Drosophila melanogaster: one gene and its partners. The protein of the gene in region 3 purifies or fractionates together with the protein of the main gene of each other region. This does not show direct contact. Each region holds a gene or a part of one and is shown on either strand. Other genes may lie near its edges.

Evidence for each region.
Region 1: the proteins of Snap24 (region 3) and gammaSnap2 purify together in Drosophila melanogaster (affinity purification with mass spectrometry, with the first as the bait; one large-scale study listed by BioGRID). This does not show direct contact.
Region 2: the proteins of Snap24 (region 3) and Membrin purify together in Drosophila melanogaster (affinity purification with mass spectrometry, with the first as the bait; one large-scale study listed by BioGRID). This does not show direct contact.

Annotation. Positions count from the first base shown.
Region 1 is NT_033777.3:10,119,830-10,123,488, forward strand, and holds gammaSnap2 (gamma soluble NSF attachment protein 2), read right to left. Parts: upstream 1,572-3,659; 5' UTR 1,546-1,571; coding exon 694-1,545; 3' UTR 570-693; downstream 1-569. Other genes in the region: ATPsynepsilonL (ATP synthase, epsilon subunit-like), read left to right, coding at 2,197-2,391; knk (knickkopf), read right to left, coding at 2,695-3,322, 3,377-3,602.
Region 2 is NT_037436.4:5,364,363-5,367,882, reverse strand, and holds Membrin (membrin), read right to left. Parts: upstream 1,429-3,520; 5' UTR 1,285-1,428; coding exon 1,148-1,284; intron 1,079-1,147; coding exon 565-1,078; 3' UTR 502-564; downstream 1-501. Other genes in the region: Pfdn4 (prefoldin 4), read left to right, coding at 109-480; Uev1A (Ubiquitin-conjugating enzyme variant 1A), read left to right, coding at 1,727-1,754, 2,798-2,940. UniProt on the Drosophila melanogaster protein: Involved in transport of proteins from the cis/medial-Golgi to the trans-Golgi network.
Region 3 is NT_033777.3:9,761,407-9,765,163, forward strand, and holds the start of Snap24 (Synaptosomal-associated protein 24kDa), read right to left. Parts: upstream 1,745-3,757; 5' UTR 1,444-1,744; coding exon 805-1,443; 3' UTR 1-804. Other genes in the region: CG8478 (uncharacterized protein), read left to right, coding at 2,497-2,529, 2,620-3,220, 3,275-3,757.

The DNA of each region.
Region 1 (3,659 bases), 360 kb from region 3:
TCGCTTATTGCCGGCCACACTTCATCATGATTGTTCGTTGCGAAATGACACTGCGATTGGAGCGAGTGTCCAGTGGATAAGTTTATTGATGGGACGGCTAATTATACACATGGTCTCAACTGTATCTTATCTGCTGCAGATACAAGCACGGCGAAGAGTCCAAAATAATCTAAAGTCCAATAAGCCGATTGATAACTCAAAATAAAATTAGGGCTTAATGTTAAGCTGGGCTTCCTGATCAAATTGAACACGAATTTCTTAAGTGAGAGCTCCAATTATTTGAAAAGAATTTAAAACACATGCTTTAAAGATTTTTTCGTGAATGTATTTGTCAATTTTAATTTTGAAAACATTTTTTTGTCAAACGTTGCATATTATTAAGCGAATATAATTTTAATTAGAACTCGATGTTCAAAACTATTAGTATAATTTTAGGGATATGTAAAAAATATGTATAAAATGCATAAAAAGTAGTGTAAAAGATTGAGTAACAATAAATTTAAAGGTAAAAAATATGTTTCGTATAAAAGTTGTGGAAAGGCATTATAAATTCACCTGATGCGTTTTCTGAGTTAGCACTTTTTATATTTTTGTATATTTTTAACAGTGTACCTACATTTATGAAACTTTTTCACCTAAGGAACAATAATAAAACTACTACAACATTTATAAACCACATTTTGTAAAAGCTCTTTAGTTTGCGGCATTGTCGACTGCATTTTTGGTCATTTGACGATTTCCTTTTGGTAATGGCACATCTTTAGATAAAAGTGCGTACTCCACGTCCATGTGTCTTATGAATGGAGATGCCAGCATCTTGGTGGCCAGCTCAGGATCCTCGTCGTCAAAAGCTTTGAGTAGGTTTTGTAATGTGTTCACCTCCTGGGGATCACAACGGTTTCCCCATTTCTTGAAGGTCTTCTTGGCATCCACGTAATCCTCTAGTGTTAATTGTACCAGTATTAAAGCAACTACTAAACGGCCAACTTGTCCGTAAGACTTTGTCTGCAGATTTAGGCTTATTTCCTTTTTGAGGGCTTTCGTGGCTTCTTCATATTTTTTGAGTCTGACCAATATCCGGGAAACCTTCGATGCAAATTCCGATGCCTGATGAGTGGAGTCCCCAATCAAGACGACTGCCAGGGCGCGTTTGTAAAATCCCAAAGCCAAGTCAGGATGCTTGGATTCCGTCATTTTGGCGGCTTTATCGAGAGCAGCAGCTGCTGCTTCCGGCGAACCATGTTGCTGGTAGAGACAGCAAGCCCTATTGGCATAGTCCTCCACTTCGGACAGTTTGTCCGTTTCTTTGGCAAGCAGGATAATCTGCTCGTAGGATTTGGCTGCATGGAACCATGACTTGTTGTTTTCGTAACAGTCGATGGCCTTCAAAAGACAATCCTTGCGCTTATCGAAACTTTTGGCAATTCGATATGCGGTTGCTGCCTTGAAATACATACCAGCTTTGGCATACTCATTCGCGGCACTATCCGTCTGTCCTATCAAGGCCTCCGCCTCTTCTATCTTTTTGGCATCAAGAGTGCTCATAGTGCTAAGTTACAACCTTTGCGTGTTGAAAAAATCAATTCAAGTGACTTATATTCAAATAAGTGTGCCCAAGTGCGCAAGTGCCGAGAAAAACACAAAAGGCCGCTCCTTTTCTATGCGGGTATGACACTGGTATTATGGTAATATTAAGTGCTTTACTAAAGTTGCATAAAATATATATTTGTATTTAATTAAATAAATGCATACCATATAATATGCGAGCTTGGGGGGTGAAAAGTAAGCTATATTTACATTTCATGTAAGCTGGATTTTGAATATATTTAAAAAATTGTATCGATTTGGTTTCAAATCGAACTTTTATCGCATCCATAGAACTCCTAGTTCGATTAAGTTTGTAGCCCTGTCTGGATAAAAAAAAAACATCGATAAAAAGACACGTGCTTTGCCTTAAAAGATCTTAAAGTGAGGAGGTAGCAAGGCGCTTTGATTTAACTTACTTTGATATTGTAACTTAATGCAATTAAATATTAACATAGGCTTTACCAATCGTGTGCGAAATCTTGAAAAGAAACCCGTCGCTCGGTTTTATATCGAATTCTTAACGGAAGAAGGTAAGATCCTTTATATGCAGATAGCTTTTTTTGACTTATTATCCTAACATCTTTATAGTTAATCCCATATTACTGCAAGATGAAAGCCTGGAGAGATCTGGGTATTACCTATATCCAGTATTCCAACATCGCAGCCCGTGTGGTGCGAGAGGCCCTGCGCATTGAGCTCCGTGCAGACGCCGCCAAGCGAAACATCAGCCATGTGAAGTTCACTCCGTGGGTGAACGGAAAGCCTGTGCCGCGCAAGAAGGTAGAACGTGAATCCGAATCTTAGGCGCCCATTTCGGTGATTTGTACACCATGTTTCATCCAGAATAACAGCTGCCATGATTCTACAATAACATTTCAAATAAATCTAATTCACTGAAAAAATGATGTATATTAGATTTTTTGTTGGGTCAAAACTTCATAGCTCATTCTTCTAAAGTACAACACAGTTCTGTATTTAAATATCATATAAATAATAATATACACAACATTTAGCATACATTCTACACACGCGTATCAAATACATAGATTGTGACTGCTTAATTTAGACTAAGACACTAAATAGGAGAATCTAAGAATGAGAAAACAGTCAGTTCTGGAGCACGAGCCACGGTAGCAGGATGATGCACAAGGACCAGGATAAGCCCATCGATCCACTCTTCAAGTTGGTATAACTGTCCACGATGTGAATCTTCCAGCCCATATTGCCATGGGTAAAGGAGTTGTAGTACACAGTATCCGGCCATGTGATATTCGGTGTAATTTCCAATAGAGCCGGTTCCCCTTCTACACACTCGGTGATGAGGGATCGATTGAACTTCTTGAAAGTGGGGAAGTTATCATCCAGTCGACGATCACTATTTTGAGGATATCTGGACAGGCACAGGGGACCAGCAGCCGTGGGCTTGGGCCTGCCTCTCCGGGTGAATTCAACACCGGCTAATACACGAATCTCACTCTGCTTTGCATCAGACAGTCGGTCATACCCACCCTGGGGATCATCGGTGATAACCAACGGATGATAGTGCTCCGGCGAGTGAGGATTATTGCCACCCCTAACCTTAAAGGTGTAGGTCAGACCACGCTTTAGGTAAAGCTCTGGAATCATGTAGCCGTTGATGTACCAGGCCAAGCCACTGGACACATGATTCGTCAATCCCTGATAGCCACGAAGTCCTCCAGAGGGTCCCAAGTAGGCGTTGAATGTGCGTACCGTTCTGCAAAACAAGGAACTATATTAAATTTTCATTGCAGGAAGATTGGAGTCTTACGCATCTGTTATCCTGGTTCGCTCCCACACTGGAGGATTAGTCGTCTCCGCTCGTTTTGTAAATGCAAAGCAATCATTAACCGGTTCTGTGGTGTTAAAATCTATCACTATATCGCTCTTGGGATAGTAAGTGTGAAAGGCGGGCTCGTTGTTGGAGTCCAATGGGCCAAATGCCCAGATCACGTAGTTGCTGCGGTCTAGGAAGATCTCCTTATCGCCATCATCGGCTAAAATGTGAAAGAGCTGCATCAGTAAGCAAAAGGCATACCACTTATGATAACCAA
Region 2 (3,520 bases), on a different chromosome or scaffold from region 3:
ATCAAAGGACAGCTGACTAAGATGAAAAGTAACCTCACTTTGTCATGGTTTTTTCTGTGCATCTGCTCAATTGAAATTTATGATATATATTTTAAATCGCATTTTCAGCACGATGACGTGCACATCTCCTTCGAGGATCAGCAGCGGATCAACCGCTTTGCGAAGCACAACGCCCGCATGGATGACTTCAAAGCGGAGCTGGAAACGAAGCGCAATGAGCTGAAGAGCTTGGAGGAGGCGCTGGAGGAGATTGAGCTGTTCGACGAGGACGAGGACATACCGTTCCTGGTTGGCGAGGTGTTCCTCTCGCACAAGCTGGAGAAAACACAGGACATGCTGAAGGAGACCAAGGAGCAGGTGCTCAAGGAGATCGCCGGCGTGGAGGCCAAGGCGAAGGTTATCAAGGCGGAAATGGACGAGCTGAAGGCTCATCTGTACCAGCGGTTCGGCAGCAATATCTCACTGGAGGCCGAGGATTAATCCACAATTGATCAATTGTTAATTTAACATTTTACAAAATAGAGTACATTTAATTTAAACTCAACTAAACGCGATGTCTTCAGATTAGAGCACTAGGAAATAGATGATCAGGGCGATGATAAGCAAGGTGACCACCACTCCTCCGATGAATATCCGACGATCCTCGACCAGCCGGCGTTCAATAAGTTTCATCGTGTGATTGGACAGACCCAGTGTGCTGCCTATCGCCTGGATTCTCTTGTGCGCTCCGCCCAGCGTCATTCTCTGCGAGATCAGGCTCTCGAGAATGCCGCTGCCCGAGGCAATCATGTCGTCCACACCCCGATGGGCGTTACCCAGCTGCGTATGATGCTGCAGTTCGTAGTCCAATTGCAGGCGCGTTTCCTCCGGCTGCGCGCTGTTTGCCGTGAATCTGTGATTCAGCAGCTGTTCCCTCTCGGAGATCTCCTGCATCCGTCGCTGTCTTCGTTCCCGCGCCGTCTGCAGTGATGTCTGCAGGTGTCTCAGGTCATATTTCAGCTGATCCACACGAAGTTTGGAGCTTTGTCGCTGCGAAGGTGGCACCTTATACAACAGCACATCCAACCGATCGCAGTTTCTAAACACAAAAGATTTATTTAATAATACAAACTCCTCTTGGGATAATATATATCATTGTAGAACTCACGCGTTCGCCTGGGTAATCTTCAATTGAATGCCGTTTTCCACGTCAAGCGATTCCTGGGCACTGAGCTGACTCAGTCGCTGGAAATCGCGCTCGATGTCCTTTACCACATTGTTGGTTTGGTGGTACAAGCTCTCCATGTCGTTACACCTATTGATTCCGCATTAATTTATGGGCCCGAGAATATTCGCAAATTAATATTTAATCGGTTGCAATTGGTTTGTTTTTAAAAAAGCTGACGCGTTAACATTGGACAGAGTGTCATGTTAGTTAACAGCACTGATAGCAGAGCAGCTGGCTGCCGTTTTTGGTATGACCATATATTATGACAAACTTATCAGCTAATGCAACTATTAAATTTCCTTTTTATTTTCAGAGAATATGCTATATATTGTTAAATAATGATTTTTAATTAGTGACCAAATATTGCACTTGACGGCGCTGTTAAGTGTTACCACTGTTAACGGTGTAAAAATCAGAGTTGTTAAGCAAGCCAAGCAAAACCTAAACCGCACTGGTCACATCGCACTGGAAACGCGTTAGCACACTTTTACGGTATTTTAGCACTTAGCATTAACCACAATGGCGAATACATCAAGTACCGGCGTTGGTAAGAAATAAAATTGATAAATTAGCAATTTGGCAGCTTAAAAATGCGATCCCCGCACGCCCGGAGTTGTTGGCCATCCGTTTTCTGCATTTCCCGCTGACCGGCGGCGATTTTTCCGCCGCTACGGACCCGACAAGCGGACCGCAATGTGATTGTGTGTGTGGTGCAAAACGGGCAAAAAGAAGACGAAAGCAAGGGCGAAAGACGAAAGCCGATAAAAGCGAAATGGGCGAATGGAAATTTATTTTCGCCAGCGGACCACGCTGCTCTTGCAATTTTCCTTGGCCGCGTTTGGCGTTGGAAAAACTCCGTTGCAATTGGGCTTCGTGACTTGACATTTTCCGAAATATCATCCCCGCTCCTTCCTCACTATGTGGCTCTCGCTCGCTCGCTCGCGCACGCTCTTCTTCTTGCCTTCATACTTAAAGTTTTTTCTTTATTTTCCTTATTTTTTGCACACTTGCGTTTTTGCAAGCTGCCTTGTCTTTTCTAATTAAATTAGCTGCCATTTACATTTGCCTGGATTGTTTTTGCAAATGCAGAAATTATGCTTTCGCCCCGCCCCCGCCGACACACCCTCCCCCCGCGCCCATCGTGCTTAATATCTGCGCTTCGCATTTTTTTTTTTTGACTTGTGTTCTCTGCACGAAAATGCGTACAAAGTCACACGGCCGAAAACAAAAACAACACGAGAAGCAGAGCGCAAAACAACAACAACACGTACCCATATGACCCCACACTGAGAGGAAAAGTCGCCGAAATATCACCGAAAATGGTTTATACCATAGAAAATGTGTAGAACAGTCCTTACTAGTTTGTTTCTAAATAGATAAAACTGTCGTTTATAATTATATATATGTATCTTATCTGTACGAGCCCGTGATTATAATTATTTAGAAAGCTAAGTACTTTCTTGCCCCGCCAACCAGAAAATTAAAAACAAGCTGACATTTAACTTAATGACTATATTTAAAGATTTAAGTTTTTCAGTGAAAATGCATTATGTCATCGAGTTCTCACCTCTTTGCCGTTTCACATTGCAGTGGTGCCACGGAATTTCCGCTTACTGGAGGAGCTGGATCAGGGCCAGAAGGGCGTGGGCGATGGCACCATATCGTGGGGCCTGGAGAACGACGACGACATGACGCTCACCTACTGGATCGGCATGATCATCGGTCCGCCTAGAGTAAGTTTCCATATCGATTGGACTTTCCTCGCTACGTCACCAGATAAGCCCGGTTTATTAGGCAATTCTGTAGGATTATTGACATCTTATCGCTTAGATTGCGCAGACCATTCAGTTTGGATAGCACCTTGTATCTTTGAAGGCAGTTTATCTCTTCAGTGCGATGGAATTTGATAATATTTGCATTTCATTAGCACCGCTGATGCAACTCATTGTGAGTGTGGGTTTCAAAAGTCATTGGCTTCATTAGCTTCTTATGTGGTAAATATGAATATAAAATGTACCTCTGCTAGATTTTAATCTTATATGAAAACTACAAGCTGCAATCTGGGATTATTGCTAGAAAATATAGGTATAGAAACGCTCGTGCTAATTTATTCTTATTTTATTCACAAGAAAATATTCCACTTTACATGCATTTATTGGGGAAAACAAGGCTCTAGCCTTGAATTACTAGCAAGGAAAGCGGCGGAAAACTAAATTTGCATTTAATTTTTGTATAGTCTAGAAGTGTTGCGCGCGCCGCCGCATGAATCATTGAGGAGTTTGGGTGGCAGGGTCTTCTAACAGAGCCCCAACT
Region 3 (3,757 bases):
TTAAGCTAGAGCTACGTAACTCGATCGGGGTTACATTCACTGGGGATAAATTATTCATATGTACGAAGCAAGAGGTTCGAGTGCAAATCTAGTGTAATTCAATAGAATTGGTGCTTGGACTGCTGTGCTGGGCTTGCGAAATGCCCAAATACATGGCCTACTTAAAAAGGGTTAACAATGGAGAACATAAAATTGGCTACGTTATACATAATTTCCGCCCGTCTTTGTTTGGTTTTTCGGTGCCCGTGCGGGATGCGGTGGTTCTACGAATTGTAAATACATTAATTCACATTTATCCATCTCAGCAGTTGCTTGGTTTGATTTCACAAAGATCGGTAAAATGCTCAAAAAGTTTGTACCAAAAACAGAGTACATCATATACGGTAAATCTCATAATAAAATTGTTTCCGGCGCCATCTGGTTGCCATTTGTACACGAGTGTAGTAATAGTAAGTAGTTAGTATGTTGGTTCGCATATATGTATATATATATATATATATATATATATATATATATATATATATATATATATATATATATATATATAGTTTTAGAAAGTAGTAGTTAGTTCATCCGGCTCGGCGGCTTAAAGTTCTTGTAAGTAGATGGGTTTGTTACGCTTGCGTTTGCCAGGAGTAGTTGCCACTACTTGTATATGTGTATAATATATGGTATCAATAACGCAATACCACCAGCTACGGTTTGTGCCCACAACATTGGTTTCTTTCCCTAACAACATTGAAATGGAGGTGGTGTCTGACTAACATGTTCGCTATGGTTTCGGGACGTGGCCGTTGTGCATATTTAACTCTTGAGCAGATTGTTGGCGCGCTTGTTCACGCCGTCCATGCGAATGTTGTTGGCATCGCCCTTGGCATTGATGCGATCAACCTGTTTGTTTTGGTTCTCCAGCTCGGAGCCCATGTCCAGGGCCATGTTGCGCAGGTTGCCCAGCATCGAGTTCACCTGCCCGAGATTCTCGTCCATCTCATCCTCACGCGCATCGTTCGTGATCCTGGCCACATAGCCGGACTGCGGTGGTGCACCCATGCCGCCGCGTTCCCGCTCATCAATGACCCTTTGCGGCTGGCTGGCCACGATTTTGCCATCGTCATTGGCCTTCCAGGCGCTCTCACCGTCGTCCTTGATGTTCACCTTCTTCCACGGCAGCACACAGATGCCACAGCACTTTTCCATGCCACTCAAGTTCTTCTCCGCCTCCCTCATGTCCGCGTTGATCCGGTCCATGCCCTCCTCAATGCGGTCCAACTGCTCGCCCTGGTCATCCAGGGCCACCAGCGTGCGGATTCCAGCCTCCTTGCTTTCGTCCATGAGGGCGAGCATCCGACGCGTGCTCTCCAGGGATTCATCGGCCACCTGTCCGGACTTGAACTGCAGCTCCTGGAGCTCAGTGCGCGGCTCGGCATTCTCCACGGCGGCCATTTCGGAACTATCTATCTGGTGAGATCACTTGAACTTGAGCTTGGCAAGTGGTTGAGAGGCAAGACGGCTGTCTTGTTTTTTTTTTGGGTGGGGAAATCTGGCCAGTGACTCACTCGCGCGAGATGAAAAACTACCCTTGGTGCTGGTTCGGTGTGTGAACTCGGTGGATATGTAATTGGGGCGGGGATGAGCTCGTTTGTGCTCCGTACGTAGGAACTTATTGCCAAGGTTTAATAATTTATTTGCGAAAGTATGAATTTTCACACCACACAACAATTCGCCAATTTGTATACTAGAGCTGCAAAAAAATCGATGTTAGTATCGATGTCGTTTTCGATAGGCGATTTTTACGTGTGTTCACACTGTTTAATATTGCATTTAGGCTTAGTTCGCAACAAGTACAATTAAAGAAATTATGCAAAACAAGCTGCAAACTATTTACGAAACAGGGCTTGCTTACGTTTTACTATTAAATCTGAGTTTAAAAGTTTAATATTGCATTTAGGCTTAGTTCGCAACAAGTACAATTAAAGAAATTAAGCAAAACAAGCTGCAAACTATTTACGAAAGAGGGCTTTCTTACATTTTACTATTAAATCTGAGTTTAAAAGTCGATTTACCATGCATAAACTAATAATCCAGTCTGATATTACACTTTTATCTAAGACATGAACCCTGTTCGAGTCTGATAAAACACAATTATTTTATGTTTTCAAAAATATTTCCCATCTAGTCACTGTAACCTTTCAATTCGTCGTGTGCCGAAAAAATTAGATTTATTTCTACAAAGTCTCCTACGCGTTAACATCAATTTGAAAGTAGTGAAGAATTTATAGTTTTTTCAATACTTTTCATAATTTAAAGCCGCGCATTCCCATCGGCGCCGTTGCTATCTTCATTGCGCGCGCAGTGTTGAAAAGTGTGTTTGAAATATTAACGCTTTGTTTTTTCGGTACAGCGTCGGTCTTCAGCTGCTCGAATTTTTGCTTAATTGCTTGTATTTATTAATTTGGGAATTCCTCGTGGCCAATTGGGAATAGCATATACTTAACCATGGACGATTCGCGCAGAACTATGGCCGGCAAGGCAAGTGTTTGGTGGTTTCAGTTGGTGTTGCTTCCATTTGCCGGGAAAAGACTTCCGAACATTATCCCATTTTCATTGCTAAAACAATAGTTTCACTTCCAGCAGATCGATTCCCGTAGCTCATCGATAATGACAAACGATGAGAGCGTCTCCATGTATTTATCCTTTGACGCGGAGGACACCCTGTCCAATGCCAAGTGGCAGTCGGCCCTGGTCACCCAGAACAGCCAGTTCCTGGAGGTGCACAACAGCAAGGTGGAGGTAAACACCGATGATAAGGACCTAAGGCGCACTATCCTAAAGGATCTGCATCAGTTGACCATTGGGGAACCGGACCAGAATTCTCCTCTGCGCCCATTTGACAAAAGTATTCTTAACCGGCACAACGCCTTGTGCTCCACTCCCTCCAAGGGCAATATTTCGACCGAAACGCAGACACCACAGATCATGGAGAGCATAGATCTGACCCAAATTGACGACAAGGAAAACACACAACCGGAGGGGTGTGGCGGCGATAACTCGACCTTGTCCAGTTCAGTGGACGTGACCGCCAATACGGTTAAGGCCAATACCCTAAAAACAGGGGATGCTACCATGGACAATGTATCCTTGCAGGAGGCTGCCAAGACCCCAGCTCCCAGCCAAGTCTATCCCTTGAGTGCGAACGTAGTTTTAGAGAATATAACTGAAGGTAGGTTTATACTATTGAGATATGGTTTCGTTCTATAAACATCTACATTTACAGTATCCAACGAAGGAGTATCCATGCTGGTCTCGCCAGCCGGAGCCGAAAAGGAGGTCGCCCATGTCAACGAGGTAGTGAACGAAGTCTCTGAGCTAATTGCCAAAGCTCTAAAGATCTCCGCTGATTCTGTGAAGCCAGCGACCTCCAAATTAAAAGTGGAGGCGGGCAAGAAGAGGCAGTCCATGAGCTCCACTTATTCGGGTGCCGCCCTACCGCGCCCTCGGCGCTCCTATCTGCCCACCACCACCGCAGAGACGCGAACGTACTCCTTCAAGCAGCGCATGTCGGTGGTGGTCAAGACAACGCTCAACAGCCCAGCTCGCAAGCGGAGTGTCGGTGGCGGTGTGTCACTAAGCCGTCGCAGCTGCTTGCCCGTCTCCAAGCTAACAAAGAGCAGCATAAGAAAGTCGCTCGCTGTGACCAGCGTGCGTTCGCCTGAGAAGATCGCCTCAAAGCCGGCTAAGACATCGACAAAAAGCATTC